Ovis aries: one gene and its partners. The protein of the gene in region 6 interacts with the protein of the main gene of each other region in a pairwise test. Links are inferred from orthologs where the notes say so. Each region holds a gene or a part of one and is shown on either strand. Other genes may lie near its edges. The genes, in order: CDK18, GSE1, RGS8, UBE3C, FAM161A, GOLGA2 and KRT1.

Region 1 (3,500 bases), on a different chromosome or scaffold from region 6:
GGATAGACGTGCTGGAACCGGGGAGCGTTACAGAAGCCCTGGGGGAGGCAATCCATGGACAGATGTGCTGGAAGCGGGGAGGGTTACAGCAGCCCTGGGGGTGGGGGGTGGTCCATGGACAGATGAGCTGGAAGCGCGGAGGGTTAAAGCAGGCCTTGCAGGGCGGTCTGTGACAAGCAGGCTCTCACCTTGACGTTGTGCATGCTCATGAGGCTCCCGCAGTGGTCCAGATACTGCTTCAGGTCACGGTCCTGGAACACGGCGCCTGGCTCAGCCCCACCCTGACCCGAACCCTGGCCAGAAGCCCTCCTGGAGGCGGGGCCCAGCCCGGGAGTGGGACAGGCCCCCGGCTCCGAGCCGCCCCTAAGCCTGGGCCCTTGGCCTCTGGGAACAAGGCCCGGGCCACCTCCACGCTCTGCCCCAGCCCCATGCCCACTCACCAGGTACTCAAACACCAGGGTGAGGGAGCGCTCCGTGTGCACGAGGTCATGCAGGGTCACGATGTTGGCGTGCTTCAGGTTCCGCAGGAGAGACACTATGGGCGACAGGCGCGCCTGAGCCCCGCGTGCCCCTCACCCCTCTTCCTGGGATCAGCCTCGGGGGTCCCCCCCCAGCCATGTCTCCTAGCCCCTAGCTGCCCCCAGGCTCAGGACCCCCCGGAGCCTCAAGCCCGCAGGAGCCTCGGTGCGCACCCTCGCGGATGGCAGTGCAGGGCGCCCCCTCCTCGTGCTCCAGCCGGATCTCCTTCAGGGCCACGAGGTTCTCTGTCAGTTTGCTGCGCCCCTTGAAGACTGTGGCATAGGTTCCCTGGGAGCAAGAACAGCAGTCAGGGCCAGCTCTCCTCTGTCCAACGCCCTCCTCTCTGTGCCTCTGCCTGGGCTGTGATGTGGGCCAGACTGCCCTGCCAACTGGAAGAGGAAACGGCAACCCACTCCAGTATTCCTGCCTGGGAAATCCCACGGACAGAGGAGCCTGGTGGGCTACAGTCCACGGGGTCTCAAACAGGCGGACATGACTGAAGTGACTTGGCGTGCACACCCTGCCTACCCTCCCCACCCCGTGCACTTCACTGGAATGCTCATTCCTCCAAAGCCTGCTTCTCTGTGAGGCCGTCCCTAACTCCTCCCCGGTCGGAAGGAGCGTCTCTCCTGCACGCTCCCAGCAGGCAAGGTGCCCCTCTATTACAGCATTAGTTTTGTTCTCCCTTATATTCTGTCAACGTTTACACGCAGGCCTCCTCTGGCTCCCTAGAAGGATAGGGCTACACTCTCCTCCTCTCTGCAAACCATTGCTCACCCCCCAGCCTGGAACACAGAGGCCAGTGCAGTGGCAACAGAAATAGCCAGTAAACACACAGTGCAAAAGCTTATTCTAGGGACCTCCTCAGTCCTCACAGTGCCCTCCACTGACAGAGGGGGAAATCAAGGCACAGGGGGCGGTCACCCCAGAGCTCACCCCAGGCCACACAGCTAGCCAACAGTGGAGCTGGGACGTGATCCTAGGCATGAAGTACTTGCAGAATAAAAAGACTGCATTCTGACCCAGAGTCCATCAGCCACTCCATCCTTAGGGCCTCAGGGCCTCCTCCAGGACCTGGGCCCACCTTAACACCTGCCGAAGGCTTGGCCAGACAGACTGCATGGCCAAGAGCGTAGATGGCAGGAGCTGTGGGCAGGGGCATGTGAGTGCAGACCAGAGAGGCTGGGGAGACCCCCTTCCTCCTCCTCGCCATCCTGCCTGGCAACCTGGCTTCTTACCTCCCCCAGTTTGTCCAGTTTCACGTATGTTTCCAGTTTCCCAAAGCCGATATCTGACTGAGAGAGAGACAAAGCATCTGTGAGCCCGAAGGCCCCCGCCTACGGCCACTCTCCCCGCCCTGGGCTCCAGGCGAGAAGGGAACGAGACCCTGCGGGTCCGACGCGAGCAGGGGGAGGGCAGTGCCAGGTGTTCTCTCCCCGTCTTCTCTCTGGCCCTGGGAGTGAGTTTCTTTCTCCCATGGCAGCGCAGGGACCAGAGCCCAGGGTGCAGGCCTGGGATTGCCCCATGCCTTCATCACCTGTCTCCATCCTGCTCAGAAGCCCCTCAAGGACAGGAACTGTACCTTTTCTGTCACCGCACCTTGAGTGTCCAGTTCAGAACCCACTTCCCTACAGCCTCCCATCAGCACACTTGCTCTCACTCAGCACTCAGTTCAGTTCAGTTGCTCATTTGTGTCCGACTCTTTGCGACCCCATGAACCACAGCACGCCAGGCCTCCCTGTCCATCACCAACTCCCAGAGTCCACCCAAACCCATGTCCATTGAGTCGGTGTTGCCATCCAACCATCTCATCCTCTGTCATCCCCTTCTCCTCCTGCCCTCAATCTTTCCCAGCATCAGAGTCTTTTCAAATGAGTCAGCTCTTCGCATCAGGTGGCCAAAGTATTGGAGTTTCAGCTTCAACATCAGTCCCTCCAATAAACACCCAGGACTGATCTCCTTTAGGATGAATTGGTTGGATCTCCTTGCACTACAACCCTTAAAAGTATGGATTCCCGGGCCCCACCACCCAGAGTCTGATTCTGTAGGTATCTGGATGGGGGATCAGAATCTGTGTTTTGTAAGATTTCCAAAGGAAATCTGACAGGCCAAGGCTCAGAAACACGTGCTAGCTGGCTTACTGATCTCATCTCAGTGAAGACTCAGGAACCCAGAGTGGGCCCAGCTCCATCACTGGTGGGACCCAACTGGGGAATGGAGATGGACAAAGGAGGATCCGCTGTGGGAATCCTATATAGCCAGCAGGTGGCGCTAGAGGCCCAGAAACCTCCCTGGAAACCGCTGCAGGCCTCAGCTGGGACAGGCTAAACCAGGACCATGCAGGGGAGTGGGTGGCCACTCTGGTGACCTCTGACCTTCTTAGGACTCACCAGGGAGGCGCGGCGGGACATTCGGGTGAGCGGTTTGGGCAGGTCTGGGCTCTCCAGCTGCAGCTTCTGCAGGAACTCCTGGGGCAGGCGGATGTCCATGGGCAGAGAGAGCCTCTTACTGATGTCCTGCAGGGGCCAGGATGGAACAAGGTGTCCGAGTTTGCTCCCGGCTAGCCAGGGCTTGTGGGGCCTGCATCTCCCAGCCTGGGTCTCTCCTTCCCTGTGAACAGTCCTAGCAGGATTGAATCATGGGTGAGGATTGCTTCAAAGTTGTGCTCAGGGGCAAACATGAGCATCCAGGTGGTGCTGGGTGACCTCAGGAGGTCCCTTGCCCTCTCTGAGCCTCAGAGTCACCATCTGCAGCCTGAGACTCCTGTAGACACTGCTTCTGTGAGCCTGTTTTTCATACATTTGGGCACATGGATATGGGCCATAAGAACAATAGTCAAATTGTCTAGCCCTTGCTGTGTACCAGGAATGTTCTGAGCACGTGGCATATATTAACTCATTTCATCTTCATCATGATCATTTTAACATAAGGAGACTGTGGTATGCAGAGGCTGAGTAACCCACTCGAAGTTACAGATCTAA
Region 2 (3,500 bases), on a different chromosome or scaffold from region 6:
GGCCGTGCCCCTGGACAAGTACCCGCCGCCGCCCCGGGAGCCAGGGGCCCTGGAACCGCAGGCCTTCCCCCCGGGGCCCGGGCCCTTCCTGGCGGAGCTCGAGCCAGCCACCCCGACTGTCTTGGGCCAGCCCCGGGCCTCGCTCGCCCCGCCGGCCACCTTCGGGGAGCCCCCCGGACCCCTGAAGCCGGGCTCACCCTACCGGCCCCCACCGCCTCGGGGCCCCGACCCGGCCTACGTCTACGATGAGTTTCTGCAGCAGCGCCGGAGGCTGGTCAGCAAGCTGGACCTGGAGGAGCGCCGGCGGCGGGAGGCCCAGGAAAAAGGTCTGGTCTCCCCTCCTCGCTCCTGCGCTTTCCCCCAGACTGCTGGCCCAGGACTCGGCCAGCAGCGCCCTGGGATTCCCCGGAAAGCCACAGAGAACAGGAGAGCAGGCAGGCCCGGGTCGAGCGTGGTGCCTTCCACCCACACAGCCCCTCAACAGCCGGGTGGGACCAGGGGTCCCAGCCTAGCTCCTGCCGGGTGCCAAGCCCAGCCTCACAGCCAGAAGTGGGGCCCCAGGCCACGTGAGGAGCACGTGTTTGGTCCTGGAAGGGCCACCCCTCCACTCACCTGTGAGGTGGCCGGTCTGGCCCTGGGCCCTCGGGCTCTGCTGTTCTGCACGGGACTCTGCGCGCGGACTCTGCGCCTTTGTGCGGACGGGGCCCTTGAGTGCCCTGGCTCTCCTGAGCAGGAGGGGGATCGGATGTGCAGACAGACCTGGGCTACCCTGGCAGTCCCTTGCTAGGGGGCTGTGTCAGCCCTGGTGCGCACCTCGTGCCCCCACCGCCAGCCCTGAGGAGGCCTGGGGCCAGGGGTTAACGGACGCAGGGCCCAGGGTTGGGGGTGGTCAGGGGCAGCAGGGCCTGGCCTATGGGTGGGCTCTCAGGTCCGAGGGGTGCCCCGTGTGCATCCCCTGGAAAGGTGAGCCCCCTTGCCTGGCTGAAGAGCTCCGTTCCTGCCTCCAGGATACTACTACGACCTGGACGACTCCTACGACGAGAGCGATGAAGAGGAGGTCAGGGCCCACCTCCGCTGCGTGGCCGAGCAGCCGCCCCTCAAACTGGACACATCCTCCGAGGTATCTGGGGTCTCACCGCTGTTGGGCCCTGGGCTGGGCTGTGGGCACCCCTCTCGGCTTCCCCGCGCCGGCTGAGATGCCTTCCGGGCGCCCTCCTCCCCCTCCCCGGGCCAGCCCGGAGCGTCCTCAGCGCAGCCTTCGAGGCCCAGGAGGCCCCGGGGTCAGCGGGAGCCTCTGCCCGTGGTTTCAACCTCATTTGTTTTCTTTCCCAATCTAGAAGCTAGAGTTTTTGCAACTTTTTGGCTTGACCACCCAACAGCAGAAGGAGGACTTGCTGACCCAGAAGCGGAGGAAACGCCGGCGGATGCTGAGAGAGCGCAGCCCGTCGCCCCCGACGGCGCGGAACAAACGGCGGACGCCTTCGCCCAGACTGGCGCTGTCCACCCGCTACAGCCCTGACGACATGAACAGCAGCCCCAACTTCGAGGAGAAGAAAAAGTTCCTGACCATCTTCAACCTGACCCATATCAGCGCCGAGAAGAGGAAAGGTGAGGCGGGGCCGGGCTGGGCCTCGGGACAGGCTCACCAGGGCGGCCGGGGGTCTCTGAGGAAGCAGGCGGGGCCGTGGGCTCTCGGGGTTGAAGTCGGTCACAGACTCGTACCCCCGTCTCTTCGCCACCACGCCTCTCTCTGTGGGAAACTCACACGGCCCCTCCAGAGCGTGCTTTCTCCTGTGTCGTCCTGGGACACTGAAGGGGGCTGGTGTCCTGTGTAGTCAGCCGTGGACTCCCACCTGCTTTTGTCCCCGCCTGGGTCTCGCAGTGCCTGCGGTCGCTGGGTCTCCGCTGTGCGGGCGGCTCACATGGCCGCCGTTGCTCCTTCTGATGGCAGGAAGTGTGGGTGGTCCGAGGCCATGGGGCGGGGCCGGGCCGACACCCACCCCGCATGGACGGCTCACCCTTCCAGCCCGGTCTGGCCACAAGGGGTGACTGGGCTGGAATCTGAACTCGCCTTCTGGGGCACCCCTTCCCTGGTCTGTACCTCATGCTTGCTCAGCGCCGCAGGAAAACTCGACCTTTCTGAACCACACGCCCACACTGTCCCCGCTTGCCGAGGCCTGGTCACCTCTTTCTGGAAGGAAGTTGAGGAAAGCAAGAGTGCTTGTCGGTCGTTTTAGTTGCTTCCACTCACTTAGTTCGTTTTGGGCTGCACCGGTGGGCCTGGATTCCTGCTCTCCCTTAAAGAGGCAGTGATGGGACCACGACACATCCCTGAGAATGTGAAGGGTTTTGTTTGAGAAGCGCGTCTCTCAGCCTGACTCAAATCCTAAGGAGGTTGGGCGAGGAGCCCCTGAACTGCGGGGTCATACGGGGTGTGTGCGTGTGTGTCCCTCTTCCCTGGTGGCAGCTGACACAGGAGCCTTGCTTGCGGCGGGAGCAGCGGGGAGCTGACCACCCCCGGAGAGAGCCTGCCCGCCCTGAGGCGCGGTGTGGCTTTTCGGGGTTGCTTCCTGTGTTGAGGCCAACTTTTTAAAATGAGAATTCTCCCACAGAGGCCCGCAGGTACCTGTGACTCGCCACATGCACGCACCGTTGTTCTTGGAACACCTGAAACGTCAGGGGGTGGCAGCCTAGGAGTCCGGGCTCTAAAGTGAACGTTCTTCCTCTAAAGCCAGCCTGTGCCCGCGGCTTCGTGTCTCGTTCCGAAGGACTCGCGCCTGCCGGCTGCGGCCTGAGCTACACTCCTGCTCCTCTGCCCGCTCAGGAGTGGCGCGGTCCCCCCCCCGGTAATCTCGGGCTGCTTTTCTCACAGACAAAGAGAGGCTTGTTGAGCTGCTCCAGGCCATGAAGCAGAAGGCGCTGTCCGCCGCAGTGGCAGACCCGCTCAGGAGCTCTCCGAGGGACAGTCCTGCCGTGTCCCTGAGCGGTAAGGCCAGCCCCATCCGCCACCCCCGGGACTGTCCCGGGGGTGCCCAGGGCCGCAGGCCACCGACCACCCCAGGTCGTCTTCCTCCCGGACACGGCGGGCTTCTTTCTCCCTCTCCTTTCTCTCTCTCAAGCTTCCTGCGCGTGAGACGATCTCAGCGGAACACGGTGCCACCAGTCATGCTTTCAGGGGTGTGGGGTCCTGGCTCCTCCGGCGGACTTGGCCTGGTGGCAGGTGTGGCCGCCGTCCATTCCTCCCGCCGTGGCCCAGGTTTCAGTTTCAGCACTTGCTGCCTGGGCTGTGTGCTCCTGGCGTGTGTCTCAGAGGCCCTGTGATACCTGCTTTCTCTCTCTCTCTCCCTCTCACGGCTCTGACTCTGCTGTCCTGCTGACGAAGCAGGAAATGGTGGTGGTCTGGCCCTGTCCTTGGCCCCTGATTCAGTCTTTCTCTCTGGATCTGGCTGTGTAACTTCCTGCCTCTCGGATGACCAGAAGCAACTTGCTCCTTCCTTCAC
Region 3 (4,135 bases), on a different chromosome or scaffold from region 6:
GATCACCTGAGACATGACAAAGACGTCTCAGTCATGTTTGCAACCCCCACGGCGCACAGTCGGCGCCAAGGATTGTTGGCCGAATTGACCTGATTTTGTTGAACTGGGGCAATGTCTGACGCTGCAGTGAACCGGTTGGTGATCATGATGGATCACAGTGACACTGTCCTAACGAGAGCAGCTGTCCCCTGGGGGTCATCTGGGGCGGCGCTGGTCAGGGCGTGTGGACGCCGGCCTGAAGGAAAGGAACTAGCTTGTAGTGGGAGGACGGGTCCCTGGAAACCTGTCGCAGTTCTTGGCCCCTGCATCCCCCTCCCTGCCCTCCGGAGAAGGTCCTCATCTGAGATCTCTCTCCGTTCATTAGCTGTGCTCATCGAGTCTCCCCAGCTGCACTTCCTCTGGTCTTTTCTGGCTTTGCTGTTTATTTATTTGTTCCCCGTCAGCCTCTTTCTCTGGCTCTGCTTGTAAACAGAGCCGATGACTGTCAGCTCCAGGGCCTATGTGGTGAACCTGGTGCCCCCAAGTGGGGGCAGCAGGTCTCATAGACTCTAGAATCCGATGCCAACGGTTATTTATCCCTGACCCTCAGAAGCTGCTCCAGGCACTGGCCCAAGCTGTCCACAAAGTTTTTCTCCTGATCATCCAAATGGAACTTTACAGACAGAAGCATCACATGACATGTTCTCTCTGTCCCCTCCTAGCCCTCTCTCTTGGTCCTTGTTCTTGCCACCATACCCCCATCACAGGTTGGGCAGCTGACCGGGGGGCACCCAGGCTGGCCTGTGGTGTGGAGTGGCAAATAACACGAAACGTTTCATGCATTACACTCTTCCCTGGCTGATTTTTAATCCTCATTAAGAAAGTTAGAACTGGGCTTCCTCTACCTTGCCCAGCCATCCCAAAGCCAGAGTATCCTTGCTGGTTGGCTATGGCAGGAGAGAGCTCTTTGAGGCTGAGCCTTTGTCTTTTGCATCCATCCCGGTCTGTTTTTGAGGCGAGGCAGGTTCTCCTCTCTCTCCTGAGGCCAGTTACCCTGTTTCACCCCCTTCCCTGCTGTGCAACCCTGGGGGACCACCTCTGCCTCCACTTCCACCCTCAGACCCCTGGGGGCTCTGCTTCTCCCTGCCTTCTGCAGCGCACTGGCCCCTCGGAGGCAGCTGCCAGTGAGCTCGCTGTCAGCAGGAGAGCCTCATAGGCAGTGCCATTCTGCTCGAGTCTGCGGTCCTCCCCCGACTCTGCGTGGCAGCGCGCATCATCTGTCAGAGTGCCCCCTCCCCTCCCTCCGCTTCCCCACCCCCTTCCCCTGGCGCTTGCCGCCTTCCCGGTTCATGAGATGCAAAGCCCGTCAGGCGGGTGAGGAGCCAGCAGGAGCCGCATGTTACAGCCGCCCTGCTAGGGGTACCCCCCCAACTCGCGGAGGTGAGGTGAGCCGCCCCTCGGCAGCCCTCTCCCATGTACCAGGAAGTGGATGACTCGGTCACTCTGGGCTTCACTGAGCCATGCCCAGCTGGTACCGGCGCCAGCCAAACCTTCCCAGCTGCACTGCCCTTCACCAGACAGGTAAGAGAGAGCTGCTGTTCCAGCCGGGCGAGAGGGTCCCCGAACTGGCCCTCCCCAGCCGGCCATCCTGAGCCATGAGTCTTGCTGGGAAGTGCAGGGCACTCCAGTGCAGAAAAGGCGCTGTCTGCCTGTCATAACCCTACCATCCCATTTTCTAACAGAGCTCCTTAGACAGACTGGGTTAAGCCAGTCACTCTTGCCAGGAGCAAGGGTGCAGGAACATGCCCATTCTTCCTGGTCAGTGGGTGCTAAGCTGCCAATATCCTGTTTTTGTTCTTTCTCCTCCCCTGAAACCTCCTTTCTGGTCCAAGGGGACGCAGTATCTCCCCGCAGATCCCTTCGGGGGCTCTGTGATTATGGTAGATTGCTGCCTGGACCGTGACACTGTTTCTGTTCGTTTCATTCATGTCTTTGCTGTTGTGTTCGGCGGATCGCCGGCACAGCAGTCTGGCTGCCCACAGCATCTGTTCTGTTTCCAGACAGCGTGCAGGTCCCCTGTGCTGCTGGTGACTAATGCTGGTGACACATTCTGATGCAGGAGAACTCACGATCACAGTGGGTTCAAGGGAGATCAAAGTACATCGGAGGTCACTGATTTTTTTGCGTTTTCAGCTTTATTGAGATGTAGTGACAGATAACATTGTAATATGTTTAAAGTGCCCAATGGGATGATTTGATACATGTATGCATTCTGAAAGGACTCCCACCATCGAGTTAATTAACACATCCGCTGGCAGGTCACCAACTTCTAGTTTCAAATATTTTCCCACATTTTTATTATTGCATATAATGTTGGAAGAATATCATAGAGTTTTGTTCACATTCCGGATTGTTTTCTTAGACATAGTCTTAAAATGAGACTTTCTGGGATGGTCTTTTTTTTTTTTTAACTGATACAAGTGACATCTAACATCGTTTTGGTTTCAGGTTACAGTGTAATAATCTGATATATGCATGTATTATGCAAAGATCACTGCAGTTAAGTCCAGTTAACTTCCATCACCACACGTAGCTGCAATTGTTTTTTTTAGGAGAGGGCAGGTCACCAATTTCTAAGCAGTGAGTTGAGGACAGAGTAAACGTCTATAGGAGGTGTTTTCTTGGCATCAGCTTCTCAGAGCTGTCTAGGGGGGCGTGGAGGAGAGCGGCTTTTCTCTGTGCTAGAGTCATTCCATCTCAGCCTATTGTTTCACTCCACACTTAAAACCTGGCTGAAGGTCCTTATAGGTGTTTATCTTGGGATGCTTTCAAACTAATGAAATAGGAAGGAAAGCCTACCCCTTCCTGCAACTTGGGTTATTTTTGGATTATTTGTTCCCACAGTTTTGGAAAACTCCAGGTGTTTTGGGGAAGATGCAGGAGGTGCTGGAAAGTGGGGGAGTGAGATTACCGTTATCGAGAGAGTATCTACGTGCTTGGGGGAAAGTTCAAAGCTCTAACTGGCAATGTGTTATTATGCTGATGATGGCTTTTACTTTTAGTTTGGGAATGGTATCCCTGTGAGCACTCAGTCAGTCTGGCAAACTGTTTTTATTAACCATTTGCTCTTTGCTCAGTCCTTAAAATAGGTGTCCTAGTAGAAGATTGATGGGAGAGGGGTGAATGGGGATTGGAGAGTGTTGGGTGACCCCTAGTCCACCGTGGCCTGGCCGAGGTAAGCTGCTCCTGGAGACCCTGTTATTTTGGCATTAAAATTTTTTCTCACACAGTGCTTTATGCACAAAGGAATCTTAAAACTTTCTCATGTTCTTTGTCCATTTGAATTAGACTTTCGCTTGAAGCCAAGGTCTTTCTCCTATGGATCAGTGAGCTTCAACCACAAGAGTCATTTCACAAATGCCAGGGACTCCCAAGGGATTGAGTAAGAGGTAGATGGTTGGCTGCACAAGATCCATCATATTACCATTTAAAAAATCCTCCAAATGTGGGTCTCAGGGATGAGTCAGCAGTAGCAGCAGTACTGAATGTGATGCAATGTTGTATAGAGTGGAAAAAGCCCTGGGGGTCCTGGGTTCGAGTCTCCCTAGGGTCATTAATTGAATTACCCTGTGCCCTTCACTCAGGGATCCTGTACAGCTTTGTTTTTATCATCTGTAAAATGGGTACAATAACAAGGGCCCAACTTACCTCCAAAAGTTTTTATGAGAATCAACTAAAAAATGATGATAGCTGCTGGTTATCAAGATGTGCTGGGCAACTTTACTAGGTATTTTCCTTACATGATGCTGTTTAATCCTTCCAACTTCCCTAAAACTTAGTCTCCAGGAGCTTAAGAAACCTGATCAGCTAAAGAAGTGAAAGCAATTTTTAGGTTTTGGCAGTGCCATACAAATATAAGTTTTGTTGTGTATCACGACTTCATGGCTTAGGATATTTATCCTGCTAATCCTTTCCTAGGCTCTCCCGTCCCATATGCTTGCTCATTTCATTTCTGTCCAAATACTTACAGCTCCAGAGCCACTAGAAACGCTCCTTGCTTTTCCTGTCTTGAAAATTAGAATACCTTTCACTGTTCAAGAAGCATCAACATTCTCACCAGAACCTTTATCAGGACCTTTATTCTCTGTTTGGAATT
Region 4 (3,500 bases), on a different chromosome or scaffold from region 6:
TCCACCTACGAGGCTCAGTTCTCGAGACACTGGGAGAGAGCCGGCCTTCTCCCAGCCCCAGCACAACCAGTGAATGCCTGCTCACATTCAAAGTTAGTGAATGTGTTTTCCAAAAGAAGAGCAATTTTTAAATTCAAAAACTTATTCAGATTTCCAAGTTCAATGGTAAGATCTACAGACTTTCATAAAAGGAGATAGAGATTCGTTAACTACTTAATCTTTAAAAATTAAAATAATTCACATAATTCAAAACCCAAAACCCTGTTAAAGTATACAGTTCAAAGTCCACTCTCTCCACCTCCTCGACCCTCGCCCCCACCCCCACAAGGAGCCCAGACGTGTGATTCATCACGTCTGTGAATTTCCTGTGAGCGCTGCCAGGTTTCTTTATGCAGATACACATTCTACCTTTCCCGCCTTTTAAGGCACAAAACATTACTACTCACTGTTCTGAAACCTTTTCTTCACTTACACATGTATCTTAGAAACCTTCCCATATCAATGAAGAAAGGGCCTCCAAATTCCTTCAGAGTTCCTGACGATCAATGGTAAACAGAAGCGAAAGCCACAAACCCCACCCCTGAAAATAAGGGGGACTACTATGAGCCTGGGAGGAGCTGAGAGAGAGTTATTCGCCTAGACTTGACTAATCATCTTTTAAATACCTTCGTAAAAAGCTGAAAGCAGTTAACATCTACAACAGCGAAAATAAGCCTCTTTGCTCTTTTACGAGCTATGAAAAACACTCTAAATACTCAGAACCTAATATATTTAAACCATAAATAAAATTCCTAGAGTACTTTCTTAGAGGAAACAGGTGCTGTACTCATAAAACCCAGGCTACGTATAAAGCTCCTCTCCCATTAAACACCCCGTGGAAGCGGTTCTGCAGTAAACCTCAGGCCAGGGCAGTGATACATCAAGTCCAGGCATTACTGCCCAGAGCCATGGACTCTGAGCTCCAATAAAACCAGCGGCCTGCTTGGGCTGCAGGTCCTCAGATCTCACATCCTGCTCCGATGCAATCAGCCCACCGTGAGCTAATCAACTCACCCAGGGCTCACTGCCTCACGCCGCCTCACTTCCTCAGACAGTAATAAACACCAGCGAGCCAAGATCGCACCTAATTAGCTGGCTGCACGACTGTTTACAAGGCCGCTGCGGCCGAGTGCTCCCTGCACGCAGTTCGTGTCAAAGAATGCTCTCCTAGCCAAAGAAACAGCTCTCCACAGAAGAGGGGCTCTGCCGGGCCGCCGGGAACGCACGCCCCCACACGCCTGCAGCGGGAGGACCTCAGCTCCCGGTGGACCGCCCACAACCGTGCCCACTCTCACGTCCTGCCCTGAGCACATGTCTGCCGAAGCCTAGGAACCTGCTCAGCTGTCCCTCAAAGCACAGGGACAGGGGAGCTGAAAGTTACCGTCACATCCACCGGCCACATTCAAACTTCCATGCTTTGTCCTTCAAACATTCACTTCACTGCTTTGAAGAACAAAAGGATTCCTCAGGCACCAAAGTAAACCGTCACGGCACTCTGACAGCCCGAGCCTCTGCGGGCTCCCTCACCGGGCCCCGGGCAGGCCTGAGCCCCCACCAGGGCGGGAGGCCCGGGGCGCCCACGCAGCAGGGGGTGTGGCACTCGCCTGGCCCGCGGCACCAGGACGCGGTGCTGCACCATGAGCGTGTGGCAGATGGCCGCCATCAGCGTGAAGGCCTCCTCGCTGGCCGAGTCCCTCCACACCAGGCTCAGCAGCGTGTTGGTCTGCTGCTTCGTGTCCAGCTTCTTCAGACACTCCTCGGCGATGTACAGCACAGACAGCCGCCCGTCCTCCTGAAAGGCAGAGGGACCGTTCGGTCAGCCACGTCCCGGCAGAGCTCAGCGCGACTCACACACGACAGGCACTATCTAAAGGCCACCCGCATCCCGACGGACAACGTCAGCGTCTCTGCTAAGTCGTGCACCGAATGGCCCTCAGGTCCCCTGCAGACCGAGGGCACCCCTGCGGGTCCCTCTGTGCCTGCGGAGCAGGGCCGTGGGCGCGGCTGCTGGGGGACTGACGAGCTCTAGGTCCTCACACTGAGAGCAGGGCTCACTCCACAGTGCTCAGACCGCTCCAGACGAAGCCCCCGTGTGAAAACGGATTATCATCCGGCAAAATGTCCACTTTAGATGACTTGAGATACCACAGTTTAAGCAAATATTTAAAAACGTTAAAAAAATCAAAATGCATACATAAACCTGTCATTTTGTATCTCAACTTCTCTCGAATATCTGATACACTGACTGAAATCTGAGCTAATACTCAATGGAGCTTACCTATCTGGTCTATTAGTGAAACACAGACTCTCCTCACACTCGTATGCACGCACACACACATACACGAGGAAACAAATGTGACTGCACGTGCAGTTTGGGCACTGCTGACTGCACTGCTTGGGAGCCTGGAGGGATGCAGCTTGTGTGATCCGTAACGCTCTGCCACATGACACGCCCTGCGAGAGACGCAGCTCACACGCGTGCATCCGCACGTCGCTGCTGCTGTTCAGTCACTCAGTCGTGTCCGACTCTCTGCGACCACATGGACCGCAGCACGTCAGGCCTCCCTGTCCTTCACCATCTCCCAGAGCTTGCGCAAACTCATGTCCATTCAGTCAGTGATGCCATCCAACCCTCTCATCCTCTGTTGTCCCCTTCTCCTCCTGCCCTCAATCTTTCCCAGCATCAGGGTCTTCTCAAATGAGTCGGCTCTTCCAAAGTATTGGGGCTTCAGCTTCAGCATCAGTCCTTTCTATGAAGATTCCGGACTGATTTCCTTTAGGAATAACTGGTTTGATCTCCCTGCAGTCCAAGGGACTCTCAAGAGTCTTCTCTAGCATCACAATTCAAAAGCATCAGCTCTTCAGCACCCCGCCCTCTTCATGGTCTAACTCTCCCATCTGTATCTGACTCCCTGAAGAACCAGCAGCTTTGACTAGCAGACCCCCATCAACAGACTGGTGTCTCTGCTCTTCGATATGCTATGCTCGCCATGGCTTTTCTTCCAAGGAGCAAGCGTCTGAATCTCGTGGCTGCAGTCACTGTCTGCAGTGATGTCGGAGCCCAAGAAAATGAAATGTCACTGTTTCCCCATCGATTTGCCCATGAAGTCATGGGACCTGGTGCCATGATGTTCGCTTTCTGATGCTGAGTTTTGAGCCAGCTCTCTCTCTCCTCTTTTGCACTCAGGCACAAATTACACTGTGCAGCGGCACTCGGTGGAGATGGCACAGGCGTGGCTCCAGATCACCACGGCAAAGCGAGCACCGGAATAAAGCGAGCCACATGAACCTCCTGGCTTACCAGCGCATGTGAAAACTGTTCACCCTCTCTTGTAGCCTGCTGCTGCTGCTGAGTCGCTTCAGTCATGTCTGACTCTGTGCGACCCCACAGATGGCAGCCCACCAGGCTGCCCCGTCCCTGGGATTCTCCAGGCAAGAACACTGGAGTGGGTTGCCATTTC
Region 5 (3,500 bases), about 38 Mb from region 6:
TGTCAGAAAATTCTCTTAAGTGAGTTGTATGACTCAAGTGGGCCTTAAGAAGCACTGCTATTAATAAAGCTAGTGGATGTGATGAAATTCCAGCAGAACTATTCAAATCCCTTAACGGATGTTGCCATCAGGGTTTGCATTCATTATGTCAGCAAATCTGGAAGACCCAGCAGTGGCCACAGGACTAGAAAAAGTCCATCCTCATCCCAGTTCCCAAGAAGGCTAGTACCAAAGAATGTGCTAACCATCGGACAATTGCATTCATTTCTTATGCTTGTAAGGTCATGCTTAAAATTGTGCATGCTAGGCTTCAGCATTATGTGAACCAAGAACTTGAGGATGTCCAAGCTGGGTTTAGAAAAGGAAGAGGAACTAGAGATCAAATTGCCAACATTCACTGGATTATAGAGAAAGCAAGGGAATTTCAGAAAAACCTCTCTCTTTCATCTTTTAGGCTGTGCTAAAGCCTTTGATTGTATGGCTCATGACAAACTGTGGAAAGCTCTTAGAGAGATGAGAATACCTGTCTCCTGAGAAACCTGTATGCGGGTCAAGAAGCAACAGTTAGAACCCTAGATGGAACTACTGATTGGTTCAAGATGGAGAAAGGAGTATGACAGGGCTGTCTGCTGTCACCCTGTTTGTTTAACCTATACGCTGAGCACATCTTGAGAAATACTGGTCTGAACGAGTTACAAGCTGAAGTCTAAGTAGGTGGGAGAAACATCAACAACCTCAGAGATGTGGATGATAACTACTCTAATGGCAGAAAGCGAGGAGGAACTAAAGAACCTCTTGATGAGTATGAGGAGGCGAGTGAAAGAGCCAGCTTAAGACTAGATATTACAAAAACTAAGACTATGGCACCCAGCCCCATTACTACATGGCAAATAGAAGGGGAAAAAGTGGAAGTAGTGACAGATTTCCTCTTCTTGGGCTCCAAAGTCACTGTCGGTGACTGTAGCCATGAAATCAGAAGACAATTGCTTCTTGGCAGGAAAGCTATGACAAACCTAGACAGTGTTGAAAAGCAGAGACATTACTCTGCTGATAAAGGTCCATGTTGTCAAGGCTGTGATCTTCCCGGTTGTCTCATACAGTTGTGAGAGCTGGACTGTAAAGAAGGCAGAACGCCAAAGAATTGATGCCTTCAAACTGTGGTGCTAGAGAAGACTCCTAAAAGTCCCTTGGACAGCAAGGAGATCAAACCAGTCAATCTTAAGGGAGATCAACCCTGAATATTCACTGGAAGGACTGATGCTGAAGCTGAAGCTACAGTATTTTGGTCATCTGATCGAACAGACAACTCATTTTAAAATCCCTGATGTTGGGAAAGATTGAGGGCAGAAGGAGAAGAGGGCGTCAGAGGATTAGATGGCTGGATGGCATCACTGAAGCAATGAATATGAACTTGGGCAAACTCCGGAAGATGGTGAGGGACGGGAAGGCCTGACGTGCTGCAGTCCATGGGGTCACAAAGAGTTGGACACAACGAGGGGACTGAACAACAGCAACATGACTCATAAAGAAATTCTCCAGTTTATTTGGTAATAAATTTCTGCACACTTGTTCTACGGAAGAAAACTTGTTTTCTTTCATTTGTTTTCTCTTAAGTTATCGCAAGTGGTACAACACTGGCCTCATGTTTTTGAGCCCATTAAAGTGTTATAAGTATTATGGACAACTGAATCTTCTGAATTTTCTGTTGGGAGACACTATTCAGGTTTATTTTCTAGAGTCTTATCAGGTTGGATCTCTATTTTTCTTTGGCAAATATACTTTTTTCATTTTGAGTCTATTTCAGGCAGTAAGCTAAATTTAAAACCATAGTAACCTTTTATGCATAGTATCATAAACAATTTCAATTGTTTCTTACCTGAGCAATTTTTATATACTTGTGGAGGATATGGGGTTTTACCTCTTTAAAGTTCTTTCAGTTAAAGGAAATTGAAAGGTATTTGAAGGGAGTGAGGGGGAAAGGATCAGCCTTACCCTTGTAGGCGTGTATATAGAATAACCGCCCTATGTGTTCTTGTTCCCTTGTCACCCCCACAGTCCTTGTCACCATGGGAGCTACTGTTCTTGTTGCCCACAGGAGTGGCTATTCTGAAAGTCCCTCCTACCTTCACCTCCTGCTGTTCCTGAGGTTGCCCCCAACCCCCACCCCATGCACATGGAGGAGAGTTTCTCTCTGGCTTCTTGATGAGCCCCCAAGATTTGTTCCCTCCATTCCCACATTTCCCGGAATTCTCATTCAGTTTTCCTCTCTGCTGAAACACCCTTGGGGCCCACACTGCAAAGCCCAGCTCAGAGAGGGCACTGGGCTATGGTTGGTTGGTCTGCAACAGGAGAAACTGTGTTCTTCATCTCAGATTAGCCTGCTCTGAGAAGGAGGCTCTTTATAAAGCGTGATTTGGTTTGATCCTGCCGTAGTGTTTCTTAGTACATAATTTGAGAATCTAACCACCCTTTAAAGATGGATTAAACAGTATTTATTTTCTGGCAACTTGGTCTCTCTATCTCTCTCTCTCTCTCTCTTATTCTTAATAAAATGCTTATTAGGAGAAAATGTATACAGCCCACAAGTAACTTATGTTATATGTACATAGTCCACAAGTAAACATATAACCTCATTAAGTGGACTTTTAAAAAAGCAGCATTGGGAATAAGTGTCAACTTAATTTGTCTTACAACTCCAGACATCATATAACAGGTTTTTTTCATCCTACCAGGCTGATTTTAACACCAGCATTTATAGGGTGAATGAACAAAAACATATAAGCCATGAGGATTTTGTGGACTTTTCTGATATTTACCACTCTAATGAAGAGTATTTCAGGAAACTAGAAGAGCTGAAGGCAGCCCACATAGAAACTATGGCAAAGTTAGAGAAATTGTACCAGAATAAATTAAATTTAAAGGAAGTTCAGCCAGCAGTCACCAGGGAAGAAGCTGCTAGTGTCTCTTCCAGGTAAGTTTGTCCATACTGTTATTTGTAGACTGTAAGATAAAATGTATAGTTAAAAATGCAAAACAAATTATTTCAAAATATTTTCTCTCAAATATCGCTTTGTGCTTTTAATGATATATGGAGGTGGGTTTTTATTCAGATTGTTTGATGGCTTATCAACCTACTAGGTAGCTTCTTGCTTTGAGGGTTATTTGGTGGACATTCACGTCTTTTCTCTCCGATGCACCACTCTTAGACATGTATCAAAATATTTAGCCTGGGCCATTTTCAAATGTTGAATATTAGAATTCCATTTTAAATGTCTTTTATTTTTATAATATGTGGATTAATGTGAGCTCTTTGCAGATATAACACAGATTGTTCAGAACTAAGACATAAATCTGATTTGTTTTCAAAATAGTCATTTTTGCCATAAACCTGCTTCTTTCGAAACTTGAAGCCAGTCATCCAGTTAGTCAGCACTGATGGTGCATCTCCTGTGTACCAGATGTTGCCTAGGCACTGAGGACTCAAAATCAAGATGCTCTCA
Region 6 (3,500 bases):
CCTGCCCCCACCATCTTTTATCATCTTGGAGAAGGTGAGATGCTCCTTGGAGGTTAAAGGTAACTTGGGAATAGTTTTTGGAGCAGGTGTGTGGGATTAGGGCTCTTTGAGCGTTCAGTTTGAACGCCTGGTGGTGTTCTCAGACTAGGAGAGGTTAAATAAAACCATACCTTCAAATCTTGCCCCCTGGGCATCTGTCCCCAAAAGACCAGTAGACCACAAAGCAGTTTGTGATTTTTTTTTTTTTTCAGTTCATCAGTTCCTTTTGGTTTGGCAGTAAGGAATGTTAGGGTTAAGAGAAAAGGAGCTTACTTTATAATAGTTAGAAGGATTGAGGTTATTTTTTCAATGGAACTAACTGTAAGCGATGTGAGGTTCACCAAACACATGAGTGATCAGGACATTCTGCCCCTGTTCTCTTTTAAAAATCCACTGGACACAACTGTATTCAGTGGGACATTGAAAGCAGACAGCTAGTGCTAGGTGCTGGAGAAAACAGGTGAAAGAAGCAAGCCAGGATGTGGCAGCATTCCAAATGCTCAACTGAAGCAGAGGTTCATCCTAAATGGATTCCAGGCTGGAGAGGGTGGCATTCGAAGCTGGTTTGAGGATTAGAAGTGGGGAGCATTCATCCATTTTGCGAGTAGGGGACCCAGGCAGAGGATGTGGTCACAGGTAACGACCAGGACTATGAGCTCACAGAGTATTATCCAGAAAGAAGGGGAGTCTGGGATGCACCTGGACTAGGAGATGACCTCCTCCAGACATGATGTTGGCACTTCCTCCTTAATTAACTTCCTCGGGGAACATCTCCCAGGCCAGAGTAGAACTGGAAGGGGGCCAGGTCCTGCTGGAGATGGGCAGGGGGAGAGGGGTGGGGCCAGGGCCCTGGTGGCTGGGGTGAGAGAGTCTTCAGTCATCAGGACTGCTCACACCCAGTCACTCAGGTCTGTCCAGGTGCTGTGACTCATCCTGTTGGCTCTCAGAGGAGACACTGGGTGGCCCGGGGAGGGAACATGGGCCTCCAGGAGTCCCGAAGCCCTGGCCTGCATCCGTCTGCTCTCCTGGAAATGAAGACCCATAACCCCATGTTCCCTTCTTGTTTTATTTGTCATACTTTTTTTTTTTTTTTTTTTTTCTGCACTGCACAGCTTGTGGGATCTTAGTTCCCCAACCAGGGATTATTAAACCCATGTCCTTTGCATTGGAAGCATGGAGTCTTAACCACTGGACCACCAGGGAAGTTCCCTTTCTTGTTGTTTTAAAATCCTCTCTATATCAATAACTGTTTCCCACTTAAGTTTTCTATTCTAGTAAAAGAAAAAAAAAAACACTAGGCCTGTGATTACAGTATCCTAGGCAGAGCTGATGACATTTCCAGAAATGAGAAATAATGGATAGAAAAAAGTGTGTTTTTTTTCTTTTTTAATGGAATGGGACATTTGAGGGGAGTGGACAATGTTTTTTGAAATTCCATACTTAGTTTTATGATTCAAAATTATGAAATAACTTGGTTGTTCACTAAATTGTCATATTCTGTATATTTCAGTCTTCAGACAAGTCCTTTTTTCCCCTTCTGAGCTCTCTTGTTTCTAATGCTAGGGATCCCTGAGCGCCAAGATGCCAGGAGGGACCTAGGGCTCCCCAGGGCCCATGGCTAAGAGTGTGCTCCCCCTGCCCCACCACTGAAGTCTCACTCCTCGCCAGCTGCCAAACCCCTACTCTTACCTATTAGATTCAGGAGTACAGGTTGGCAAGGCAACACCAGGTTCTGGAGTCAGAGGTCACAGTGAGGACAGTTACCATGCCGACAGTTTGATTCTTCTTCAGCTCCCCAGGCTCTGTGGCGCTTGCTCTAAGGCGGGCAGTAGATTTGAGTTTTCAGAGGCCAGGGCTGCGGCGTCCAGAGAGCAGGCTGCCTTTTCCCTCAGGAGAGGTGCAGCCTCTCCCTTCCAGATCCACCTTGGCTGGCCAGGCCTTGGCTGCCTGGCGCTCTTCCCTGGCCAAGCCTCAGCTAGTCAGTCCTCTGCAGTCTCACCTGTTGAATGGTAGCTCTCAGGAGCCAGCGGCTTGGACTCAGTGTCAGTCAGGCCTGAGCCTGGAGAGAGGCCCAGTGGGGCTCTGGTCAAGCAGGTGAATCCACGTGGGTGGGGGAAGAGGGGACTTCTCTGTGGCCCCTGGTCCTCAAACCCACAATTCTTCTCCAAGAGGCCAATAGTAGACGTCTTCTCTCTGGTTTCTCAGCTGTTTTTGGTTGGGTAGGTGTTTAGGAGCTAGGAACTTAGGGTGGGGTAGTGGCCACAGTTTTCTTTCCACCTGCAGGAGTAGGAGGAGCCTTCTTGTTTGACGGCTTCTTTCCCAAAAAAGGCATGACTCGGGGACACACCCAGTGGTTGGGAGGAGGGATGGAGGGAGAGCAAGAAGGAGGAGGCAGATGCTCTCTTCCTTTATCACTGCCGCGTTCTGCCCAGCAGGGTCCCGGGGGAGGGTCACTCTGGCACAGACTGACCCTCTGGAAAGGCAACACCTGCTTCTCCCTGCCCCGGCACGCTTCCCTCTTACCTGCTGCGGCTGCCAGAGGGCAGCCTGGCCCTGCCTCTGACTGAGCTCCACAGAGGATGACACTCCATGTTCAGGAAGCAGGCCTCACTGCCCTTGCCCTGAGCCTCGGTCCAGAAGGCGGCAGAATGGCCCAAGTTCTAGGCGAGCCGCAGCCACACCCCCGCGTGGCTCCCAGCACGTGTGACTGTCACGACTGCTCAACACCGGTCCTGCCAGCTCTGCACCCCTGCACTCATGACAGCGAGGCACTCTTTGCCCTGCATGGCCCCCTAACCCCCTGCTCTGTTCTGTGACAGGCGCCCAAAGACCGCGCCGCTCCTGTTACACCATCTGCTGATGACACCGTGTCACCTGGCGGTGTCCCTTCCCCCAGTGCTAGTCCCCCCCGTGTCACTAGCATGGCATCAACTCAGGTTTGTGCCTCTTCCCCCTTGGCCCGCTCTGTGTTCACCCCCTCCTGTTTCCCGGAGGACTGGACCTCCTGTGGACCCTCGTCCTTTTTTTCCAGGTATCTTGGCTCTGTGAGCCAGGTGCCCTTCCTGAGGACTGGGATGGGGGAGCCCAAAACCAGACTCCCCTTAAGCTTCAGGGAGGTGGAAAGTGGTCGGAATGAGCTTGGTGCCTGTAGGTGGTTCCTCCTAAAACTTGAATGACCAATTCCTGTGTTTCTTCCCAAACAGAACCATGATGCCGACAACCGTTCTGGTCCCATTGACGAAAGCACGTGAGTGTCTCCCACGGGGGCACCAGTCCCTAGGCCACCGCCCCGTGACCCCCCCTTTCCCATCGAGCCTCCTGCACCCCTGACTGCTGTGTTCATCCCCAGATCCTTTTCATCCACCGAGAGTCTGCGACAGCTGTCTCAGCAGCTCAACGGTCTTGTGTCCGAGGTACCCCGAAAACTGGAGCTCGGCATGGGTTAGAGTAGGAGGGAAAAT
Region 7 (3,330 bases), about 130 Mb from region 6:
CCCAGACTCCTTGTTTGGCACCCACCATAAACACTGTACTTTCCTTCATCATAATCTGGTGTCAGTACCTGGGCTTTACTGCACAAGGGCAAGTGGCCCCAAGTTTTCTTTGATAACATCATCACTGGCTATTCCACATAAACAATTGCTTTTCCAATAATACTCTCCCCCTCTTTTCAATGCCGGATTCCTCTTTCCCACCCTGCTTGGTTCACTGCCCTGTTCAAGTAAGCCCTCTCCGATGAGTAAAACCTGCTACCCTAGTCTCTCTATTTCTCATGACACCTTCACCCTCTGCACAAGAGTTCATTCTAGTTAAATGTTGAATGTTTAAATTTAAATGTTGTCTGACCAGCGTCCCCACCTTGCTCATGTTCATGTGCCCCAACCCCGCCCTCCCCCCAACACACACACCATAGGGCTCCAGGGTCGTCTTCTCCCCACAGAACACCCATCCAGGATGGACAGTGCTGTGAACAAAGGAGATGGAGACACAGAGAGAATTTCAAATGCAGTTTATTGCAGCAACACAGGAAACGGGGAGTTGAAGACCTCTCCACAAAAGACAACTGGCTTACACATTATGTGCAAAACCAAAGCAGCACGGAGCTTGCTGTGCAAGTTAGGACACCAGGGAGCTGTCCAGAGCTTGTGCTCTGTCCATGGCAAAGAAGCCGTGGGTCTGACCAGCTCTCCTCTGGCTGACTTAAGGAGGTGCTTTGAAATGTAATGTGTGTAGCAGTGATTGTTGAAGTGTTTCTTGGGCAGAGTACAGAGCAGGGTCCTAGCTGAGGGACTGAGATTGTCACTGATTTAAAAATTTTCTTTGGAAATCAGAGCAGAAAGGACAGAGCTAGGGAATAGGATGAACCAGTGTAACCATAGCTTTTCTTCCTCCAGTAAGGCTGGGACACTCGGAAGCATATTTGGTAGTGATGGAGAGAGAAAGCTAATGGAGGAGAGAGGACCTCTTTATCTGGTCCCTCTGGAATAGCTGGTGGAAACAAACTTCACGCTGGAACTGCCACCGGAGGTCTTGGTGCTGGATGCCCGACCTCCCGAGGAGCTGAAGCTGCCTCCAGAGCCGCCACCGCCGCCTCCAGAGCCGCCTCTCCGGCTCCCACTGCTGCCGCCTCCAGAGCTGTAGCTGCCGCCACCTCTGGAGCCGTAGCTGCTGCCACCTCCAGAGCCGTAGCCGCCGCCACCTCCAGAGCCATAGCCGCCGCCGCCGCCGCCTCCAGAACTGTAGCCGCCGCCACCGGAGCTAAAACCACCGCCTCCTCGGCCACCGCCGCCACTGATGCTGGTGTGACTGGTGCTCACAGCTGCAAGAGAACATTCGGCTATCATCAACCCCAACTCCCTTTCCAACCCAGCAAGACCAGCAAAACCTGCACCCGAGAAGAAGCCCTGAGAAATCAGTTTGTACTTACACACACTCACGTTCGGGACACACTCTCCAGACATCCTGAAGGAGAAAGAAAAGCATAATACTCATGATGCCAGCTTCACAGACTGCCTCCCCAGGCCCTCTCAGCCATCTGTAAAGAGTCTTCCCACCTGGGAGTCCCCCAGGCTGCTTCATCTGAAACCTAATCCCATTCCCTCTGGCCTCCCGAACTCGGTCATTTTTCTCAGCATCAGTACTAACAGGGCAAAACCTCCATGTAACTTAGACAAGGTAAATATGCCCACCACATCACAAAGGCACTGGCTTTAGGTCAGATGACATCTGAGCCAGCCCAGGTGTGGCTCAGACAGTAAAGAGTCTGCCTGAAATGTGGGAGACCCAGGTTCGATCCCTGGGTCAGGAAGATCCCTTGGAGAAGGAAATGGCAACCCACTTCAATACTCTTGCCTAGAAAATCCCATGGACAGAGGAGCCTGGTGGGCCCCAATCCATGGGGTTGCAAAGAGTTGGACACGACTGAGCGACCAACACACACACACTCAGGTGAAGAATAAATTGCTCTCTCTCAAAGAGTTCAGAGAGAGGCAACAGCCTTCAAAACACAAAAAACAAAAAGAGCTTAGGACTCTGGCTCCCAAAGTGAAACCAAGCGTTTCCTCCTGTGCTGTGTGCTTTTCCTTTCCCCATACCCAGGACAAGTTGCAGTCACGTGATTGCATCTTCAACAGCAACCAGTGTCCAAGGGAGGAAGCACATAGGAAGTGGCCAACTGCCCAGGGTCCCTTCTTCACCTGCTTTCCTCTCCTTCCAGGAGGGTTCTATAGGTGGCAATCTCCACATCCAGGGCCAGCTTGGTGTTCATCAGTTCCTGGTAGTCGCGCAGCAGGCGGGCCATGTCCTCCTTGGCCTTCTGCAGGGCGTCCTCCAGCTCGTTCAGCTTGTTCTGGGCATCCTTAATGGCGTTCTCACCACGTTGCTCAGCATCACTAATGGCCTGTTGCAGTGAAGAGATCTGGAAAAGGAGAACCCAGCATATTATACACTCTCTGAATCCCTAATTCCATCTTGGCCTTTCTGTCTCCGATTGATCTCTCCACCCTTGTGAGGCCAGTACTCTGGCTCCCAGAGAGTTACAGGACCTGCATTCACCTGTCTTGAGATAATACATCACTGTGTCAACTTCCTTAAATAAAGGTGATACAGCAGCCTCTCTGGGCCCTAAGTTAAGACTCTTTCACCGCCTACAGACCTGACGTTCTTCCAGATGCCTACTCTCCTGGTTTCCTTTCCTCACCATCTTTGAAGTCTCACTTTGGGCCATGGGCTAGACCTCTCATGACCACTATATCTATTTCTTTACTAGGTCATTTTCATAAGTTTCCCCAAGGAGAACCTAGCATCATGGCCAAACTCTAGAAACCATAGTTACCAAAGAACTAGGGATAACAAGACAACCTTCATATGGATTGTAAGCCTCAAAATTAAGAACACATCTTCCAATAACCTGGACATCCCAACCCATTCCATATAATTGAGTAGTTGAAGGAGGAAGCAAGTACCTGCTTCTTGACACTGTCGATCTCAGATCTAAGTCTTTGGATCACCCGATTCAACTCAGAAATCTCCATCTTTGTGTTTTTCAAGCTGTCTCCATGTTGCCCAGCAGTGATCTGGAGCTCTTCATACTAAATATGGTAGATAAAGTCGTTCAGAGGTGGCAGAGTGCACCATGGCTCATGTACACAAATGTAAGAGAAAAGTCACGATAGCAAGAGAAGACACTTTAGGAAAACTGAACAGGCATCGGCCCATTCACCTTGGTCTGGTACAGGGCCTCAGCCTCAGCCTTGCTCCTCTGGGCAATCTCTTCATATTGGTTTTTGACTTCATCAATGATGCTATTCAGGTCCAAATTGCGG

Evidence for each region.
Region 1: the proteins of GOLGA2 (region 6) and CDK18 interact in binary tests that used the Homo sapiens proteins (3 or more experiments, as listed by UniProt). The two-hybrid records come from large-scale screens. The link is inferred for Ovis aries from reciprocal best matches to the Homo sapiens genes GOLGA2 and CDK18.
Region 2: the proteins of GOLGA2 (region 6) and GSE1 interact in binary tests that used the Homo sapiens proteins (3 or more experiments, as listed by UniProt). The link is inferred for Ovis aries from reciprocal best matches to the Homo sapiens genes GOLGA2 and GSE1.
Region 3: the proteins of GOLGA2 (region 6) and RGS8 interact in binary tests that used the Homo sapiens proteins (3 or more experiments, as listed by UniProt). The two-hybrid records come from large-scale screens. The link is inferred for Ovis aries from reciprocal best matches to the Homo sapiens genes GOLGA2 and RGS8.
Region 4: the proteins of GOLGA2 (region 6) and UBE3C interact in binary tests that used the Homo sapiens proteins (3 or more experiments, as listed by UniProt). The two-hybrid records come from large-scale screens. The link is inferred for Ovis aries from reciprocal best matches to the Homo sapiens genes GOLGA2 and UBE3C.
Region 5: the proteins of GOLGA2 (region 6) and FAM161A interact in binary tests that used the Homo sapiens proteins (3 or more experiments, as listed by UniProt). The two-hybrid records come from large-scale screens. The link is inferred for Ovis aries from reciprocal best matches to the Homo sapiens genes GOLGA2 and FAM161A.
Region 7: the proteins of GOLGA2 (region 6) and KRT1 interact in binary tests that used the Homo sapiens proteins (3 or more experiments, as listed by UniProt). The two-hybrid records come from large-scale screens. The link is inferred for Ovis aries from reciprocal best matches to the Homo sapiens genes GOLGA2 and KRT1.

What each region holds. Positions count from the first base shown.
Region 1 is NC_056065.1:3,132,048-3,135,547, reverse strand, and holds part of CDK18 (cyclin-dependent kinase 18), read right to left. Parts: intron 3,036-3,500; coding exon 2,910-3,035; intron 1,815-2,909; coding exon 1,758-1,814; intron 808-1,757; coding exon 693-807; intron 536-692; coding exon 441-535; intron 252-440; coding exon 189-251; intron 1-188. UniProt on the Homo sapiens protein: May play a role in signal transduction cascades in terminally differentiated cells.
Region 2 is NC_056067.1:11,180,734-11,184,233, forward strand, and holds part of GSE1 (genetic suppressor element 1), read left to right. Parts: coding exon 1-326; intron 327-1,007; coding exon 1,008-1,120; intron 1,121-1,337; coding exon 1,338-1,608; intron 1,609-2,612; coding exon of another isoform or gene 2,613-2,632; exon of another isoform or gene 2,633-2,866; intron 2,867-2,872; coding exon 2,873-2,986; intron 2,987-3,500.
Region 3 is NC_056065.1:63,189,037-63,193,171, reverse strand, and holds the start of RGS8 (regulator of G-protein signaling 8), read left to right. Parts: upstream 1-1,335; 5' UTR 1,336-1,560; intron 1,561-4,135. UniProt on the Homo sapiens protein: Regulates G protein-coupled receptor signaling cascades, including signaling via muscarinic acetylcholine receptor CHRM2 and dopamine receptor DRD2.
Region 4 is NC_056057.1:120,084,973-120,088,472, reverse strand, and holds part of UBE3C (ubiquitin-protein ligase E3C), read right to left. Parts: intron 1,832-3,500; coding exon 1,644-1,831; intron 1-1,643. UniProt on the Homo sapiens protein: E3 ubiquitin-protein ligase that specifically catalyzes 'Lys-29'- and 'Lys-48'-linked polyubiquitin chains.
Region 5 is NC_056056.1:46,312,238-46,315,737, forward strand, and holds part of FAM161A (protein FAM161A), read left to right. Parts: intron 1-2,732; coding exon 2,733-2,971; intron 2,972-3,500. UniProt on the Homo sapiens protein: Involved in ciliogenesis.
Region 6 is NC_056056.1:8,015,303-8,018,802, forward strand, and holds part of GOLGA2 (golgin subfamily A member 2), read left to right. Parts: intron 1-2,858; coding exon 2,859-2,975; intron 2,976-3,242; coding exon 3,243-3,286; intron 3,287-3,388; coding exon 3,389-3,452; intron 3,453-3,500. UniProt on the Homo sapiens protein: Peripheral membrane component of the cis-Golgi stack that acts as a membrane skeleton that maintains the structure of the Golgi apparatus, and as a vesicle thether that facilitates vesicle fusion to the Golgi membrane.
Region 7 is NC_056056.1:133,705,813-133,709,142, reverse strand, and holds the end of KRT1 (keratin, type II cytoskeletal 1), read right to left. Parts: coding exon 3,228-3,330; intron 3,097-3,227; coding exon 2,971-3,096; intron 2,424-2,970; coding exon 2,203-2,423; intron 1,469-2,202; coding exon 1,434-1,468; intron 1,326-1,433; coding exon 973-1,325; 3' UTR 501-972; downstream 1-500. UniProt on the Homo sapiens protein: May regulate the activity of kinases such as PKC and SRC via binding to integrin beta-1 (ITB1) and the receptor of activated protein C kinase 1 (RACK1). In complex with C1QBP is a high affinity receptor for kininogen-1/HMWK.